Solanum lycopersicum: one gene and its partner. The protein of the gene in region 1 interacts with the protein of each later gene in a pairwise test. Links are inferred from orthologs where the notes say so. Each region holds a gene or a part of one and is shown in the gene's direction. Other genes may lie near its edges. The genes, in order: increased DNA methylation 1 and increased DNA methylation 2.

Region 1 (9,506 bases):
TCAAAGAAGTTATCAGAAATGGAATCCGCTAATGGCCAAGATGACCAGTGTGATCCATCTGGTAGGAAGAGTGGAGTTCATGAAGTAATTACAAGCAAACAAAACTCTGGGCCAAAGAAACGTAAGAAATGCCGTCTTAGTGACGATGATCTCTTAATTTCAGCCGTATTTAGAAACACGACATGCAAATCTGGCAACAAAAGGTCCTCTGGTAAAATCAAACCTCTAAGGAAAAGGAAGAACCAGAAAAGTGGTGGTAAGTTGCTTTTACGTAGTCTTATTAAGGGTGGAAAACACTTCCCCGAAGAAAAATGGCCTACCTTTGCCTCAAGGACTGTGTTATCCTGGTTAATTCATTCTGGGGTTGTCTCCCTAAATGAAATGATCCAGTACCAGAACTTGAAGGATGATTCTGTGGTAAAAACCGGCTATATTACCGCTGATGGAATATCGTGTAATTGCTGTGACGAGGTCCTATCCATCTCTAGCTTCAAAAAGCATGCCGGTTTTAAGCACAATCGCCCCTGTTTGAATCTTTTCATGGAGAATGGTAAGCCATTCACCTTATGTCAGCTTGAGGCTTGGTCAGATGAATACAAGGCACGGAGGGCAGTTTCTCAAACTTCCCAAGCTGAGGAAAGGGACCAAAATGATGACAGTTGCGGGCGATGTGGTGATGGAGGCGAACTGATTTGCTGTGACAATTGTCCAGCTACATTTCATCTAGCTTGTTTGTTCACACAGGTTCGTCTTTTGACTCTTTTCACTTAGTTTACTTGTTCGAGTCAGTTTGATGCCTTTATCTTGCCTTGAATAAATAATTTTCTTGCTCAACATTTATGTTTAATTCACTTGTAAATTGTAAGATGTCAAAAGATCCGTCCTAGCGCTTTATGCATGGGTTCTTATATGATTTTATATGACGTTATATAAACAGAACACCAAAGAAGTTGCATGTCTTGTTCAGTCCTTACTCTCAATTATTTCCCTTTCAGGACTCGTCTTTCCACCAAAACAGTCCAAGGGATTGCTGTGCATGGATTTCTTGCTTTAATGACATTTTTGTCTTAGTACTTTAATCTGCATATTACTTGACATGACTTCTTATTTCTATTCTATTCCCCATAAAATAATAGAAAGGTTTCACATAATTAAATACGGGTATTTGTCGAATATCGCTAACCAAATGCTGCATAACATTATGTGAAATGGAACATATTTGCACTCTACTTAGTTGGGGTCAAATATGTCCTTGTCTTCACTTAAATGGACTATATTACCCTCATTTTCTTCGTAATCACTTGCTTTACTTTGTTTTTATTGCCTTTTTACCATTTTCGCAAGTCGTACCATGGTTTCTCTACAAACCTGTACTCTATTTGTTTGCCAATATTGTTCATTCTCAAAAAACTAAATTATTTACCAATATTGTTTTGGTTTTGTCTCTGCACTAGGCATGATTGTATGATTATTCTAAAATATGTCTTGGTTTCCCTTTGATTTTGTTGCGTATCATATGAAGTTGAGTACTGAATTTGTTTAATGACACTGGACAAGAGATATAAATTCTAGTAGATTAACTTATTATTTCTTGTTTCAGGAGCTTCCTGAAGGGAGTTGGTACTGTTCACAATGCACGTGCCAGAAATGTGGGGACGTGGTTAGATGTAGTGAATCAAGTTCTCCTGGTGGATATAAATGTTCACAATGTGAACATAAATGTGAGTTTTCCCATGAACTTTGACTTGTTTGGTTTCTATTCTTTTCCCATTGCAGGCCTGAAAATGTCCAAATATTGGTATTGGAGCTCTGTATTCAGTTCTTACCAGAATGCATGGTCTAAAATAATACTAAGATTTTGCATTTGGCAAACTTCACAAGCCTCGATCAGAGAATTATCATCTTCTTTCACATTTGTTCAGTTATGGGGGGCGGAAAATATATAATCCTTCTCAAAAGTCTTGGTTTTCTGTTACTAAATTCCTCAATGGCTTTGATGACTTTTGAACAGATCATGAAGCATGCAGTGATTTAAGGATTACAAAAACTGGTCTGGCCTCTGATACATGGTTCTGCAGCGAAAGCTGTCAAGAGGTGAGCTAGTCATCTCAGCTTTACCTTTTTCATTACTATAAAACGAGCTTGTTCAATGATGTAAATCCCTGATGCAGTTCAGTGTAAGATAAAACAAACCAACTTTCATATTTCTCTCTCTTCTAAAGTTTTAGTGTGGAGTGTGAAGTTCTATCGGTGGTTACTAGTTCCTTTTGAATGTGATATGTCATGGCAGGAGAATGTGATATGAAATATGATTGTTATATTGTCAATGTATCATGAGTAGGTCTATCTAAAAGTAACAGCTAAACTAAAAGCAGAAATTTTTGCACCATCTATAGTAATAGTAAAAAATATCTGTTTTTCACTGCAAAGTACTGTTCTGTGGCCTTGGATTAAGTTCACCTGCTTGATTTCCTTGATAAGTGAAAGATTTTGGCATGAGAGAATATCAACTTCATTGCAAGGTTGACTATGAATTATTTTGGTTGTCTTTCAGAAAAACTTAAGCGATACTCTTTTGCAGGTTTATGAAGGTCTTCACTCTCGCATTGGGTTCGTTAATCATCTGGCTGATGGCTTTTCATGGACAATTCTGAGGTGCATTCTCGGTGACCACAAAGTTCATTCTCAGCGGTTCATTGCTTTGAAGGCAGAATGCAACTCAAAGTTAGCAGTTGCCCTTACGATTATGGAGGAGTGCTTTCTTCCCATGGTGGATCCAAGAACTGGCATAGATATGATACCCCATGTGATATACAGCTGGGGGTGAGTTGCTTCCCATAAACTCTTTTTTATCTTGGCATACTGCTGTGCTTACCTTTGTGGTTGGGTATATTGCTTAATGCTTATTCTTCCACATTCTTCTAAAGCGGTTGTGAAATTAGCAACAGCCTACATGTTTTAACAAAATTCCCGCACTTGATAGATAAGGCATTATTCCTAGCATGTCTTGTTCATTCTGTTCTCATTCAATTATTCAAACTAATTGAATGGAAGGTTGAACTATAAATTTAAGAATAATATATTTTATGTTGAAATGACAGAGGAACTTTACAAGAGCAGTTTTATCTGAAGCATTATGTTGTAAGGCATATAATGACAATATGCAAAAAATTGAATAAGTTTCATTTTATTTTATTTTTGAAATTGGTAACTATGAATAAGTTTCATCTATTCAATGCGCCAAATCAAAAGGTGTCTTTTGGGTCTTGCATCCATGGTGTCATTTGACTATGTTCATATCAACGTTACAAAATACAATGACACTTAAGTGGTGCTGAAAGACTTATCTTTAAAATATTTACAGATCACAATTTTCTCGGTTAAATTATCTTGGATTCTACACGATGATCCTGGAGAAAGATGACATATCAGTAGCTGTAGCATCAGTAAGGTAATTCTTTACAATCTTGAATGCAATTGTCCATTGTTATTGCTTGTTCTATAAGCTCGACACCTCTATTGCAATGCTGATATTCTTGGAGCATATGCATCTTTTCTGATTTGCTTTGTGCTCCTTTACCTTCTATTTGTGGCCTGTTTTCTTTTGTTTATTTTAAAGAAAAAATGTCAGTGTTATTGGAGTTGGAACATTAGAAGGAAAACCGAAACATTTGGAGTTGAAGCTTCCTTTTAAGTTCTTTAATATGACATCTTAAGCTTGCAATTTCAATTTCATGGTTCCATCTTGACCTGATCTTTTGGTTTTTATGCTATGTTTGTGTTTCTTACTGTACGCCTTTCAATTACATCAAGAATTTTTTGTTCTTGCGAGTATTAGAAGTATTTTCTCCTGTCGGCTGCTTAAAATTGAAAGGCTAGACTGTGATTAGTGATGGCCTTTTCTCATATTGCATGTGCATTGCCGGTTGTTTCTGTTATTTATGCTTGATAGACTATTAGGTGTTTTTGGAATTTTATAGAAATTTTTTTCATCTGGAGGTTTCTGGATAACTGGTGCATTCATATCTGTTACAGAAGGTGCTTGGAAGAAAGATACTTCAAGTATTGTTGACTAGTATATAAATTTCTCTGACTAAAAAAAAGAAAAAGAAAAAGATTATATAGAAATTTCTTAACTATCACTATTCAATCCCTACGTTTACTATATGGGAATGCCAAAAGGAGTTATAGTTTACCTGAGACCTTTTTCCCATAACCTCGATCATTAATTATGAGTCTGTGACTAGCAAGCTGTGGCCTCCTTGCTGTCTGTTTGATGAAACCATCTCACTAAAATCAGGACTTTTTCTGGGGCGACGATCTTTATCTGAATCAGAATTTGGTTCTTTTGCAGGATCCATGGAGTAACAGTTGCTGAGATGCCTCTAATTGCAACATGCAGTAAATACCGCCGCCAGGGAATGTGCAGGCGCCTACTAAATTCTATACTGGAGGTAATCTGACAGGAAAACAGTGTTATAATTGCCGGGTGTCCCACTCAGATGTTCCACGTAGTACAGGGTGGGACATAAGCCCCAAAAATGGGTGTTCATCCTGTGGAATTTTAATTTGATATGATAAAAAATTATAGGAAGTGTTGAATTATTTTAAATAAATGTTTGACATGCTATACTTATGAACCCCTTGCTTGTTGCAGTCTTTTCCTGGATTATGGAGCTTGTGATGCACATTATCTTTTATTTTACGGTGAAGCAAGGTTTTGCCATGTATGCTTACTTGTTTCCCTTGTGATGACATCCAGATGCTAAAGTCGTTCAAGGTTGAGAAACTTGTCATATCAGCTATTCCAGGTTTAGTGGAAACATGGACTTGTGGCTTTGGCTTTGAACCCTTGGAAGATCACGAGAAACGAAGTCTAAGTCATATCAACCTCATGGTGTTCCCTGGAACTGTATGGTTGAAGAAGTCTTTGTTTCAAGCTGCTGATGCAGATCAACCGAGTGGTGAGTATTTAGTGTTTGATGTTCTTCAACTTTAAAGAATATAATTCTCTTTCTTAAACACTACAAACTGGAACTGATCTGTTTCATACTTGAAATCAGTTTGTCCGGGTGGAAATGGCCTCACCATTATCGAGCCCATGCAACATTGCGTGCCATCTCAAGATGTCAATGCAGGAGCTGATGTCAGAGACCCACCTCAGTCTGAGAGTTTGCAATTCTGTGAAGATGAAGGTGGTAGTAATCAGGATCTTGGGCAAGGCTGTGAAGGAAACACCATTAATCCAGAGCATCAAACCGAAACCAGGCTGCCGGACTCAAATGATTTGCAACCAGTGGAAGTGCTGTGTGTTGTTGATGCTCTGCCTAGCAAGTGCTCAAAACTCTCCGAGGAACCGGTTCTGACGTATATCAGCCATGGGGAAGCAGGTTGTAGAGTAGATAATTTGCAGATGAATGTGGATAGTCATTTTTGTTTAGATGAAGTGAATTAATGTGTTGTAGGGGAATGTGTAATGACGTTGATAATTTATAATTTCGTAGCTATACACCAGTGACTTTGTCAAGCAGGATAAAAAAAATAAGCAAAACGATGCGGAAAATGAAAAATTTGGGCGAATTGCTTTTTCAAGCCATTTACAATCTTCTTCTTTTTTTCAAAAGTTTTATGAGTTTTACACCTAAAATATTTGAAAAAACTATTTTCTTTTTATCCATTTTACAAGTGGTCAAAAGATTAATGGAGTTAATTACCATTTCTCAATGCGTCTAAGAATAGCTAGCTACCTGATTCCTTTTGGTGGCTATTTCTTCACGTTTTATTGATCAGTGTTGCATTTTTTGGTTCTTCACAGATTTCAAAAGATAAATATTTTTAAAATCTAGAATCAAAAACTTGCTAAATATAATAATTTCAGGAAGAGGACAAAGATGGAGGAAACCTGCAAGAATTCATCAAACAAGAAAGTGTAAACTTCCATAACAGAGCTAAAATCTCAACTCCCAACACCAATTTTGATCCTGTGCTAATTTTACTCATAATTTGAAATGCCTTCATCTCCTAAATCTTTCAATGCTTGGCCATCTTCTTCTTCATCCTCAACTATCTACTCCCGCAGATCGACGGTCCTGATCTTCTGTTCTCTCATCGGTGTAGCTGGGTTTATCTTCGGTTTTATTGCAATTTCGAAGCAGGGTTTAGGGTCAAATTGTAAATATGCTGAACCTCGATCTGTTTCTGTTGTTTGGGATAGAAGTGGTAGTAAGGCAAGTGAAGATGCTGATGGAGTTTCAGATGAAGGGCAAAAGAGGCATAAAGTTATGGGATTTGTTGGGATCCAAACTGGGTTTGCTTCCACTGGTCGTCGCCGGTCGTTGAGGCAAACTTGGTTTCCTTCTGATCATGAAGGCCTTCAAAAGTATGAATACTACTCTCTCTGTGATTTTTTATGAATGTGGAATTAAAAAAAAAAGTAATCTTTAGTTTATTGTTGTGCCTCTACCTCCACGAGGTAGAAGTAAAGTTCGGATACACGCTACCCTCCTCAGATTCCACCTAGTGAGATTACGCTGACTATTTTGTTGTTCTTGTTGTAGTTAATTGATGTGAGTTACCTCCATGTTGTAGAAGTAAGGTTTGCATACACCGTAGCCTCCCCAGACTCTTACACTAGCTATGTTGTTGTTTTTTAGTAGTTTATTGATCTGCTGTGAGATTTCATAAAACCATGCATAATTAATACAAACTTAGTCAAGAGAAAGACACAATGGAAGGGATAGCTATGAGGTTTCATTAAACCATGTTTAATTTAATACAAACTTAGTTAAGAAAAAGATGCAATGGAAGGGATAGCTCTGAGATTTCATAAAACCATGCGTAATTAATACAAACGTAGCTAAGAGAAAGATGCAATGGAAGGGATAGCTCTGAGATTTCATAAAACCATGTGTAATTGATACAAATGTAGCTAAGAGAAAGACATGGAAGGGATAGCTTGAGATTCATAAAGCCATGCGTAAATAATACAAACTTAGTTAAAGTAAATGATACAATGGAAGGGATGGTTGTCAGATTTCATAAAACCATGCGTAATTAATACAAACTTTTTTGATACAGAAAAAAAAAAGTTTGTATTGATTAGACATGGTTTTATGAAAGATGCAATGGAAGGGATAGGTATGAGATTTACCTTCATTTGGAAATTCACATTATCTAATAGATATGCATTTTAATGAAACTCGACGTGAGGTGTTTGAGTATTTACTGTGTAGTCTTTCTTATAGTCATCAGATTAAAAATCTAGTTTAGTTTAGTCGATTTTATAAACGTTGTATCGTTTTGTTGTTTTTACTGGTAGCTTGCTCTTGTAGTTTTATATGCTTGTGTGTCATAGGGAATAAATTGTTGTGTATGACTTGTGGTTAAAAGACATTTTCTTAATTATGTGGAAATTGAGTTATTCATAGAACAATTTTATCATGCTCTTGTTGAATTGAACTGGAAGTTTCCTGCCATATATATCGGCGATGATACCTCTTTTTGTCTCCTTTTGCGGAAAAAAAAAAAGAAAAAAGGAAAAAAAGAATTTCCTTTTTCGCTAAGCACTTAGAACTAGATATTTCACAAATGAACTCAATGTTATTCATTTATTTGTTATGTTTATATGTAGTTGTGTTTCTCTGTCTCTATATGTTTCTTGAATCTATACTTTGCTAAACTGACGTAAATAAAATTGCAGGTTAGAAGAAGCTACTGGCTTGGCTTTTAAATTTGTAATTGGTAGAACAAGTGATCAATACAAAATGGCAGAGCTTAAAAAAGAGGTAGCAGAATATGATGATTTTTTACTATTAGACATTGAAGAGAAGTACAGTAAGCTACCATACAAAACGTTAGTTCTGGCTGCTTTCATGTAGTAATTCATCATTTTTCCTTTTTTGGTTTCCTATACTTACTCAAGTTGTTTTTCCAGCATAGCTTTTTTCAAAGCTGCCTATGCGCTTTATGACTCTGAATTTTATGTTAAAGCTGATGACGACATATATTTGAGGCCAGGTAACAAGAATTTTGAAGCTTTTCTATTCTTACTGCTCTTTACTTGTCATTCTTGTTATGCATTTACCATGTCCTAGAATTTTGATGTACTTGAGTTGCTTTAATTTTCCATTACAGACCGCCTTTCACTGCTCTTGGCCAAAGAGCGCCCTCACTCCCAAACATACCTTGGATGCATGAAAAAGGGTCCAGTTCTCACTGACCCCAAGCTCAAATGGTGAGTCTCATAATTTGCCTGCATGCCATATATTCGAATATAATGCTGGTATCTAGTTTATTTGCTCCATACTTGTAGGAACTTAGTCCCTCCATTTCTAGTTGAATGCCTCAGTATTATTTTGGAGGACTAATAAGATGGGAGTTGACTATGTTTTGCGAGTAAGTAGTTGGTGGCTGACTGAGGTACTACACATACTCACATTACTTAATTTTACAACTTGACTCTTAAACAGACCATGGTAGCGAATCTAAAAGATTGTAATAAATTCTTGCACCAAAAACAGAGAACTATATATATGTGTGAAGGGGTTGAAGATAAACTAAGCACAGTATTAGCAGTCTTGTTTAAGTTTAGGACACCACACTTGCATGTGTTTAAGTGTAGACACTCAAGGGCTAAGCCAAGCATTACATCACCCATTGGCTCTATATGGAAAAGGATGGCACTAAACAACAAGCATAGCTAGCAAAGTGTAATATTAATTACCTTCTAGTAAAAAAGAAGTAATATTAATTGCTAAGTAACCAGTATGAATGATGCTGACTAAAAAAGGAAATTAGAAATCTAGTAAGAAAACTAGTTGCTAAATCTATTTTAGTAATTCAAAAAATGCATCTTTGCATTTGAATTAGAAATGTGAAGATGGTTCTTGACCTTGATTCATATGATATTTACTTCATATATTTATCTTAATTGTTGTTCTTCTAATTCTTTTGCCCATATACTTATTGTTTGAGTTTATAGTTATTTTCCCTTCCATTAAATATATAGAACTTTTTTCATCTGTATGTTTCTTCACTAATGTCGAGCATTAATTGTGCTGAGAGCCTCGGCAGATTTTGGCACTTTTCGATGCATTTTTACCTTAAACAGCACTAACACTAATATAAGGCTCCAAAAGGAAATGGTAGCTTGATTTTGAAGGTGTAAAAAACTGCAAGTGTTTACTATAGTATTTGGTGGACTGCACAAAATCCAGCGGGTCTTCTGTGTATATGTTAATACTGTCTCCTGCTCTTCCTTTTGACTTAACACCTCTGTTGAGAAGAGTTCCTTTAAACCCAGTCCATTCTCCCTGCAGATATTTATACTATGAGAAAGGATGTTTTGGATTTTATCACAAACAAATTGTGCATCAATGGCAATGTAGCTAACAAAATGCCAACGTTCATTTATGCCTTTTACAGTTCCATTCTACTTTTAGGAACTCTCTCCTATCTCTTTTTTCTACAAGTAAATGAATTTTGTTGGGGAAAAGGTGAGAAGATCC
Region 2 (10,448 bases), on another chromosome or scaffold:
CTTTTGTGATGTTGGTTATGTGAAGACCAGTGGCAGAATCCTTAAAGACTTGCAAAGCAAGGCCGTCAGGTTTGAAGGGAGCTCTAGTAACTTGTGATTGTGATAGGTATACAAGATTTGAGACTGCTAAGAATGTAAGAAGAAAGTTGAGGATTGATGATGCCATATTAAGAGAGACTGATGAGAGAACAGACAGTTGTTATTACTTTGTATGGTGATGAACAAACACATTTTATAGTATGGGAAAGGTCTTAGTTTATCTTCAGTTATGGATAGAGACAATAGTTGAGCTATTTTGTCGTTTTTAATGGATGTCAGGCTTGCTTTTGTCTCTCGTTAAATCAATGACGCTAAACAGGGGATCCTGTAAACAAGCTCAGTTTAGCATGTTACAAGTCGATTCCTGAGTATTCGAGGTTTTAAGACATGGTATTTTGATGATAAACTTCACTCTCTTAGTTGCTTTACAAGTGTTTCCGCAAAACCCGTATAGTGTTGTCATTGTTATTTTGTTTCATCCTCCTCAATGACCTCCAACTGATTCATCATAACCTTATCACATCTTCCTTTACTTAACAGTAACAAGTCTCCTTTTCACTTATTACACTCTCAACTGATAAAAATGGCCTGCAGCTGGGAACTTCACTATTAGCTACGTTCCACAAGGTTTTTTTCAGTTCCAACTTCAATCACTTCGTTCCAATATTGATTGTTCATCTCCTACCCGGAAAAGAAAGGGAATAATGGTGGTTTTAGTCACACAAAACAATCATAATATCAAAGGTCTAAAGTATCAATATTATAATTTGAGGCCGATAAACAGCAATCCTGACATTATCCGGGACAAAATTATCCTATTCATCTCATTTAAGCACATTCTCCCCTACTTATCAGTGGAGGCTAAAGTTACAGGTAAATTGCACCGAGGAAAAAATTCATCATCTGTATGTCTCTGGCAAGCGGTAACCAGTCATCACAAGTTTGTTCGCAGACATTTTCCCTGTCTTTGGCATAACGTGCCAATGCAATGTTAGGTTAAAAGCTTTACCACGGAGGTTGCTTCCCTACAAACAAGGAATTAGGTACTTGTGAAAATCATGAGATAAAGAAGAAAGCAGAATAAGGCAAAATGCTTCAGAAACTAACCTGATCAACAAACCGATACTTGTTTGTGGTGTGAATCAAAAATTTTGCATGTTCCTTGGTGGGAATAATACCATCCCACAAAGATATCTGTTAGTAAAACAATCAGGTCAGTAGAAGGAATCATACCAAACTCTCATCGGGTAGGAAAACAAAATACAAAACAAATTCTCAAGCAGGTCCTAAAAATTAATGAGTTGACGTATCCTTGGAGCTTCTAAAGCCTGCTCCTCAAATTTGGAGAAGACAGCCCCACGAGGCTTCACTAAGCATACATTCATACTTACAGGAAAATCCTATCACTGACAACAAAGTACAGGACCGTTGATTTACAAGGAGAAGCAAAGGGCAGATATGTTGATACATACTGTGCTAAGCCTTACTTTCAGTTGCAATACATTTATCAGACAAAGACACGAGCCTCAAATAAGATCTAACTAACAAATGAAATACAAGGAAGATATTAATTATATGCAGTTCTCAACCAATAGAAGATAGACCTGATTCAAAGCGTTCTTTGGAGTTTCATACTCAGCTGCCAAAAATACGAACACCTGCAAAATTTTAAACATTATTAGAATTGCACAGTTGCTAGAAGTAACTATAAAGGTAATCCAACCAACAGAGATCTGACCGATCAATGCCAACATATCTCTTAAAGTGTTCGAAGTTAAAACTAAAAAACTTTGAATTCAGAAATCTAGGAAACTTATTGCACGTAGTCTTGTTCTTTTTGAAATATTCCAGTCTCTTGTTACACATGTTAGGTAGCAGAATTTCAATATATGGTATACTGAAGCTGTAAAGACACTCTAAATCCCGTCCTCCAAATTCTCAAGGAAAATAAAAAGGGAGGAAACAAAATAGAACCAGCTTTCTCACAAGCACTGCAACAGGAATAATTTAAGTTCATTTTAATTTTTACTAAAAAGAAAAGGTGAAAGAGGAAATACTGCACCAAGTCATTGGACTAACTGGGAAAACGTCAACAAATTGTACAAGAAGGCATAGATTTAACTATCTAACACTGGTTTATATAGTCACTAATAGCCTCGTAAATTTGTGTAATGCATTCTATTTTCCAATTTCCACATCCTGTAATCCAGAGTCTTAACCGTGGCATCAACATCTAATATGACCACCTCTCCCCTTCACTCTAGTGAACTCCAGTGTTTCAGAACGGGGATGAAAAGTATACATATATTATGTCTTAGAGATTAGCTTAATTGAGCATAAGATGTATACAGATTGATACATCCACACTTTCATACTTTACATAGAAGAAAATCAGACTCAAGTAATAGGGTTAAAAGAGTGAAATCCAAACTATGGTGCAAATAAAATAGACACTAAACCTGCTTCGTATTCCACGTGAACAATGACTGTAAATCTGCCGATATGTTCAAGGTCAAACTGACCTGCATAAAAGGAAAAGTATACATGATATAGACAAACTTCTTTCATTAAGTTCATATAACCACTCAACCAACAATGGTAACAAGAATGCTTAACAAAAGAGCAGCTACCAAGTTCATGTAGATCAACAAGATAAAGAAAATAAACTGACACCTTAGGCAATATAATGTGCTAGCATATTTTTTTATGATATTTCAATGATTAAGAGATCTAAAAAAACATACGATTATTTTTTTATGCACATATATCACATAGATTCATGAAAATACTAATAGAAGATTGTTTTTCCTCCAGAGTTTTACTCAAAAGTTGTCTGCGGTCCTTTCGCTCTAAACCGAACCGAAAAAAGTGGTTCAACATATTAGATGTTGGTTTAACGTATTTAAAACCCGATAGTACATAAAACCAAACCGACCCGACCAATGCACACCTCTAGTAAGCTTAGTTAGCCCTCTATTATTGAAGTTAATATTGGAAACTTACTGGCAACTCTAACATTTAAAATAGACTAAAAACCAATGGATACTCTAAGAAATTGGGAATTAGTTAATAGTATTACATATGATAGCTTTATCTTTACAATCTGGAACTGCAGATTTAGTTGAATGCCTCAAGGCACTCAAACAATGCAAAAGAAGAAGAGGATCTCGAAGGAGTTAGCCGACTTAGTTCCTTTTTCTGTACAGTAGGACTGTTTTATTTGGTCGTCTTTATCTAATGAATTATGTCCAATTTACTTGTGATTTCATCGAGGAATTCGTTGATTCTCTTCTGTTTGATCCCTGTGAGTTTGAGTGGTGAAGAAAGTCATAACTCATAACTTTTACTAGTATTTTCAAGAACAATGTGATATCATGGGGGTTTAGAGAAAATTAGTTCAAACCTTAACTAACAATTCATGATTATTTAGGTTGATACTCATGCCTAACTAGGAGGATCTCCTAGATTGAAATTGAAAATTTTTTTAGAGAGAAGGTATTATAATGGAGAGTATACAATTGATAGTACAAAGAATGTCCGTACATATATGCATCAAACTTGGTTATTGAAATTGAACAATGTTATAGTTATATTACCTCAAAACAGAAAATCTCAAGATTTTTCCATTCTCAAATGAGAAAGCAAACAAATTTAACCAAGAATGTACATAGATCACATAGATTCCTGATTCCTCAAAGAATCCAGCAATACCCATATTCAAGAATTTGAAATAGAAATTATTAGAAAAAAAAAAAGAAGAAAGGTCAACCATCATAGTTCAACCAGTTTTTGAACCCAATTTACAATCTCACATACCGAATTCAACAAAAATTAATCCGAAACTAAAAACCCAGAAAAACCCTTTATCAAAATCGACAGATACAAATCTTTCGTCAAAGAAAATACCTCATCGTCCCCATCAGGTTTCTTCTGGAACCAATTGATATTCAACACCTGCAGAAAATCAAGCGTTCAAACACGTGGGTCATTTACAAAATTAACAGATCTAATTACAATCGACAAAGTTAACAAAAGGAAAACATAGATTCAAGTAGGGTTTTTAAGGAGGTAGGTGTACTTGAACTTCAGTTGTTGGAATCGGAGTATTGAAATTGTCGGAGAAAGAAGCTATTCCACACATAAACGCAAGGATGGTGACTGCCAATGTTAACAAAGCATTAGCTCTATACCCAAATGAATGCATCTTTGCTCCCGATTTTCTTCAATTTTTGGTCTTCTCAGAATATGGAAAATGGGGCTTTTAACGCTTAAGAGTTCAGACTTTAGTCAAATCTTGTTTTTACCCTTCTCTCTTTTTTATTTTTGGTCTGAAATTTAATGGTTTGTGTTGAGTTGTCAATTTATTATTTGATAGAACATGTCAATACTCATCATCTTATATTGGAGTATCTTTATTTTATTGAGAGAAATGACAAATAATTCTTCCGTTATATTTTTAGATATCAATATTTTTATCATTTAAAATTAAGTATATATTTATTTTTTGATTTGATATTTAAGAAATGTTTAGTTGGTGAATAAGATTGTAATATGTATATATAATTTATGCTCTAATTTCTAATGATAAAGGCAACTATATCACAACAATTGGGGAAAGGTGGAGATGAACAAATTAATGCAACAACAAATATACCATTCAATAGTTAACTTTAAATATTAATTTTTAAGAAAAACATGTTCTTGATAAAGATAAATATAGTGTTTTAATTAATACAACAAGTATTCCACGACATATCATTTCTTATTATAATTTTAAATTTCTAAGTATTCTATACTTTATTCTTATTTTATTTTTTCAGTCAATACCATAAATCGATTTAAAAATACTAAATTAAATCAAACTAAAGTAAAAAAAATCAAACTAAAGTAAATTAATTTGATTTACAATGCACATTTTTTTTAAAAGCAAATCAAAATTTGATAAAATCAAACCGCTTGAACTAAAGGCTATTTACCGTATAAGAAAAAACAATTCTTATATAATATTATTTACCAATTATATTGCATAACCAAGTAAAGGACGCGTGGCAGTGATTGGGATGACTGATTTCTGAAAAACCTCGTTGCTTTCTTTTGTGGCACTAGCAAATAGTTCAACTTACTCTCTGGAGAAGGAGAATTCATTGTGGTATGCTTTCTACACTTCACTTATTGATTTCTCACTTTGGAAAAAAACATAGAGTTGTATTTTACATTTTGTATTTCCTAATTTTACACTTCACTTGATGTCTTCTTTTTGTCAATTTTTCTCTGATTCTGGATTTGTACTATCATGTTTTTAGTGTTCTTGCATGTAAGAATCATCAATGAGTTGTTGCATGTGGATGTGACTTGCCAATGTGTTGATCTAGTGTAGAAATTGCTCTTAATTTGTGTTTGTACCTGCTTAAATCCAGTCTAGTGAAGCAATTTTAAGTTATCTATGTCAAAACAGATAGGCAGCCTAAACTATATTTTTGGAAAATGCTCTGTTGCATTTACTTAAAAGGCTCCCCTTTTTATGTACAAAAATATCCTCATGGATGACTTACAGAATCTCAATTACTAATCCTTTTGTGTGTCTTTGTCGTTCTAACCATCAAAATCATTCTTGATTTCAACCTTCCGTTTGCGAAATCCATATACGGTAATAGATGGTAAAAACTCCATATAATTGATCTTTTGAACTCGCTTCAAGCTATAATCACATATCATCAATCTTAGTGTTTACTTCTTCTTCTTTTTTCACTACTTACTGTCTTCATTGTATATGTTTCAACCGTGTTTTTTACTCAAGTCTAGAGTCAATATTTTTATCTGTTTCATTTCATCTGAAACAGATTAATCACAGAGTTCTTACTCTTTCCATCGAGCATGGACAACAACTTCACTGGATTGGTTCCAACGGATGATCAGTTTTTCCTCCTTTACTTCATCATTGGAACCTTCTTTGGACCAGATATCCCCGTAGAATATCCCAAAAGGTCAGTTTTGCAAAGAAAGGGTCTAGGCTTACCTCCATACAGTTCCAATCAATTAGCTGGTTCATGCCTAAGAACCATAGAAGTAGAAAGGGTTTACTATCATGCATTGAGAAAGGCAGATCGGTCTGTTGTCCTGGCACAACCGTGGCTGCACCAGTACTTTCATGGGAAGCTTCCTACTCTTTACCGTAAACAACCAGCAGCTTATCCTCGGTTCTGTGATCTGTTTCCTCCCAACCTGCATCCCCATTTATGCTGTCATGTGTATAATGTTATTGCAAACATTGTGTTCATCCATGACCCTGATACCAGTTATATCGAACCAGATAGTGTTAAGAGGTTCAAGAAGCTCACTGGTCTAGAACATCTGGTCATGGACAAAGATTGCACAAAATCACAAGCCGATGTTGATTACGAAGCTCTAACTAATATTCGAAACAAGGAGATATCCAATCCTGGTGATATCCTCCAATATGCATCATTAGCTGCTAGTAGCCTACCATATAAGGAGATACCTTCAAGTACTGAGCCATTTAAGGATTTACGACTTGACAATGAACAATTTGACTATATGTCTTTTACTAGTCTTTTGAAGGATGCTTCTGATGAACCATTTAATGGTGTGCCACCTGATAGCAATGGACAATCTGACACTAGACCTTTTAGTGGTCTCTTGAATGATGGCTCATGTAGTAATATGCCACCTCATCGCAATCGACAATTTGACACTACACTTTGTAGAAGTCTCTTGAGGAATGATGCTGTCAGCCAGTTTACTGATGCGCCACCAGATAGCTCTAAAAAATCTGATGATACTCCTTTTAGTAGCCTCTTTAAGGATGTCAGTCCACTGGCGGAAGAGTCTATGGGTCCATCATCAAAGCACACCAACTCTGACGACTCAGAGCTTAGCATTGTCTTCCTTCCTTCTTGCCCTTCTATGGAGGAGCTAAGTAACATTGTTGGTGCTACTAAAAGTGGATTTGCAGTGGCTGGGAGTGCAGCGAAGGGTAAGATAGGACCAGTTCTCGGGCTCTTGGATGTAGGAGAAAGTGAGGATGCTTACTTGTTCCGTGTATCACTCCCTGGAGTACAGAGAGATGAAAGTAAGTTACAATCATGATCTAAAATATTTTTCACATCTGAATTTGCAATTAGTCCCAGTTGACATATTTGATCTGCCAAATCCTTTTACAATATGGCGCACTGCATTCTTCTGATGATTTTGGATTCGACCAGGACTAATTTGTTCAAAATCTATGGTTAACTCAGGAGAATTTACTTGTGAAGTGGAGATTGATGGTAAAGTATTGATTAAGGGAATGACAACTGGTGATAGGACAGTCCACAAGTACTCTCAAGTATTCGAGATGCAAACTCAGAACCTATGTCCAACAGGAAATTTCACCATCTCTTTCAAGCTGCCAGGCCCAGTTGACCCTCAAGCATTTTCTGGTATTTTTGGCACTGATGGAATTCTCGAGGGAATCGTATTGAAAGCAGAAACATATTCTCAATAGAATAGGGTAAATTAGTGTCTTGTTAATTAGGAGGTAGTACCTCTACAAATTGCAACCTAGCTTATGTCTATGATAATAGTAATTTGGTGTGAATGCAACCAACTTACCTGTTCAATTACAAGTAAGGTAAGGTGTAAAAAGCTTAAACAGGCTGACCCACATTTAAAGATCAATCTGGGTGTAAAATCTACATTACTTAATTATGACAATTGATCACGTAACACAAAATCAACAATAATAACCTTTATCCAGAGAGCTAAGCAGTACTCTATTTTTAAAAAAAATGATAGTATGATTCGAGTAGTTCTGCATAAATACGAAGTTAAGCATTTTTCTCTATAATTCTGTTGAATTTCACAAGAAAAAATGTACTGGCTTACATGAAGCTTCTAGTTGACCAGAAATTTACTATACAACCAGTGGATTATGCTTTCCAGCTCACTTTACTCACTCCACAATGAACTGAAAAAAAAAATGAATTATTATGTTCTTGAATGGAAGCCAATAAGATCTTTAACTGATAAGTGAATGAAGGCTATCAACATAACCATTTCCTAGATATTGTGGCAAAGGCGCACTTGCCACCTACTTCATCTTCAAGAGTTTAGCAGCCCCCGCATGGTTCCAGACCAGTGATGGATGAATCAATTGTCTCTCCAAAACTCAGGCAGAGAACGTGGCAATGATCAGGCTTATTATCATGAATACAACATAGAGTCCTACTAGGCAAAATCCCCAGAATCTTGGCACCCGGAACCTATTCCAAGTAACTAAAAGCAAAGATCCCATCAAGCTCAATAGCAAGAAAACAAAAGCAACCACGATACTCACGTGGAGATGAAGCTCATAAGCTTCTGGATATACATTTGCTGTCTGCATAACCAAAGCAGTTCCAAGCCCAAAAAGCATGTTAAACATTGGCCCAGCAAAACATCCAGCCATGGCCATGGCCGGTTGGCCAGCCTTTGCTACAGCCACGTCTGCAACAAGATCACCTACTGAGTTTCCCCATGCAAGCACCGTTAAACCAAGAAAGGCAGCAGGCAGTTTCAGGAGCTCTCCAAGAACGGCAAGACAGTTGAGAAGTTCCCCAGCAACTGTGGAGATCCAAAATACACTCATAACAAATGCTATAACAACTGCAGGCATTTGCTCAGTTTTAGGGGCCTCCTTTTCAACAATGAAATGTACAACAGCCAAAGAACACGTAGCACAAAGTACAATGAACCAAAGAGGCAAATGGGTGTCTGAGAGAAGGAAAGAGATTGGATGATTTAATGGCACAAAAGATTTGCAGGAAAACAGAAGGAGGAGGGGGCAGAGAGCAATGTTGGAAGATAAACAGAATCTATTCCATTCAGAAGGTGCAGTCTGTGGTATGGTGAGCCTAAGGAGCATCGAGACAGGAAGTTTCCAGATTAGAGAGACCTGTCAAAAAAGAAATATTAAAATGTCAAAATGAAAATATTAAAATAGCTACACATTAAACTGAGATGCTGTGAACACCATCAAAATCCATAAAATAGAAGCATGGATTTAGTGTGCGCCTGATGGATTCTTCACGAGTGATCTAGTCAACAACATGGATTGCAGAAAGAAGCAACTAGCTTCCATAAAACACACTGAGAACATATTCCCACATAAAACACACTCACTTATCAAAAGATACTTGGTATGTTTAGATGTTACATTTATTATTGATTTTTTTAGAGTTTAGAGCCATGAGAAATGCTATGGTCATCATAATTCTTATGGCTTGATATAAAAATAACTTCCAGAAGGAGTGCAATCCAACTTCTTAGGCATGCTCTTCTGTTTGTCAGTTGCTTGCCCCCTATTCATTTCCTTCCTTGCACTTGAAAAGCATGGAGATGAAGTTCATTCCACATTTTGACATCCATTATGCCAGTGTCACGTCAGGGACTGCACCATGTAAGGTGTGCTCAGGCTACATTATTGTTACGAAGAGCTGCCTCATAATCCCCCTTCTCAATGATTGTATTGAGATTTAATTTCCTTTTTGTAATAAATTCTCCTTGCTTCTCTAATTTTCTCTCAATGAAGTTTTCCACTTTTATTACTAGATCTTGCCGTTCCTTGTTAAATGCATTTTCTGGAATAATAATTACTGATCTACTCCCTTCAGTTTGATAACAGAAATAAATCGATGGTACTTATTGAACTTCAGGGAGCAATAAACATATGTCGAAATGTCTCTGCATCTCTCAGATTTGAAGTCCCCCCCCCCTCCCCCTGCTTTCAGAAGCTTCCTTCTAATCTTTTGCATAACCAAAGTAAAGCTCCCCTTCTCAATATCATATGTCCGATAGACATCACTGTACTCTCCACCAACTCGAAACCATACCTCTGAAGCAGATACTGGTCTGTAAGATCATAAGATTCTGTCTGAAATATAACCACTCCATGTTCCAAGTAAATGCTACCTGAAAGAAAAGGCAAGAAAAGGAAGAGATTCCAATGGCAGAGAACCACCAGAGAAGGGGCTCTAGAAATCAAAGAAGGGATCTTTAGAAGCCACCTAGGATAAAGTGCTTGGGAGCATTTTTGTTATTTGGTGTTATCTGTTACTGTGTTACAGAGTCTTGAGTTTTATACTAAAAGGATATTTAAGCACTAGATGTCTAACTCTTCACAGCATATGTTGTTGTTTGCAAGAACAAGAAAAATCACTTTCCATATATTCTGAAATTACTAAAAAGGGAAAAATTAGACCCCAATATCCTCCAACTTACCGTCCAAGTATCTAGGACTCCCTCTGTTCTCTTTTACTTGTCCAATATACTAAAAATAAATTTTCCTTTTTACTAGTTCTTTTAGGCATAAGCAAGAGAGAATCAATTAGTATCTTTTTCCATTTTTTCATCAATAAGTAACCGTTTCCCAA

Evidence for each region.
Region 2: the proteins of increased DNA methylation 1 (region 1) and increased DNA methylation 2 interact in a two-hybrid assay, tested with the Arabidopsis thaliana proteins (3 studies listed by BioGRID, with this or other methods). The link is inferred for Solanum lycopersicum from reciprocal best matches to the Arabidopsis thaliana genes ROS4 and AT1G54840.

The regions. Positions count from the first base shown.
Region 1 is NC_090806.1:67,720,607-67,730,112, reverse strand, and holds the end of increased DNA methylation 1, read left to right. Parts: coding exon 1-744; intron 745-1,600; coding exon 1,601-1,721; intron 1,722-2,011; coding exon 2,012-2,094; intron 2,095-2,581; coding exon 2,582-2,823; intron 2,824-3,364; coding exon 3,365-3,451; intron 3,452-4,354; coding exon 4,355-4,454; intron 4,455-4,762; coding exon 4,763-4,964; intron 4,965-5,063; coding exon 5,064-5,455; 3' UTR 5,456-5,596; downstream 5,597-9,506. Other genes in the region: probable beta-1,3-galactosyltransferase 14, read left to right, coding at 6,009-6,379, 7,700-7,852, 7,934-8,016, 8,134-8,233. UniProt on the Arabidopsis thaliana protein: Histone H3 acetyltransferase that binds methylated DNA at chromatin sites lacking histone H3K4 di- or trimethylation and catalyzes H3K18 and H3K23 acetylation. Prevents the transcriptional silencing of transgenes and of some endogenous genes.
Region 2 is NC_090800.1:85,087,517-85,097,964, forward strand, and holds increased DNA methylation 2, read left to right. Parts: upstream 1-5,077; 5' UTR 5,078-5,188; intron 5,189-5,879; 5' UTR 5,880-5,913; coding exon 5,914-7,129; intron 7,130-7,262; coding exon 7,263-7,543; 3' UTR 7,544-7,784; downstream 7,785-10,448. Other genes in the region: gamma conglutin 1-like, read right to left, coding at 1-166; signal peptidase complex subunit 3B, read right to left, coding at 939-1,064, 1,147-1,233, 1,644-1,697, 2,499-2,561, 3,946-3,993, 4,118-4,243; cation/calcium exchanger 5, read right to left, coding at 8,207-8,971. UniProt on the Arabidopsis thaliana protein: Prevents DNA hypermethylation and transcriptional silencing of transgenes and of some endogenous genes. May act as a molecular chaperone of IDM1, regulating its H3K18 acetylation activity.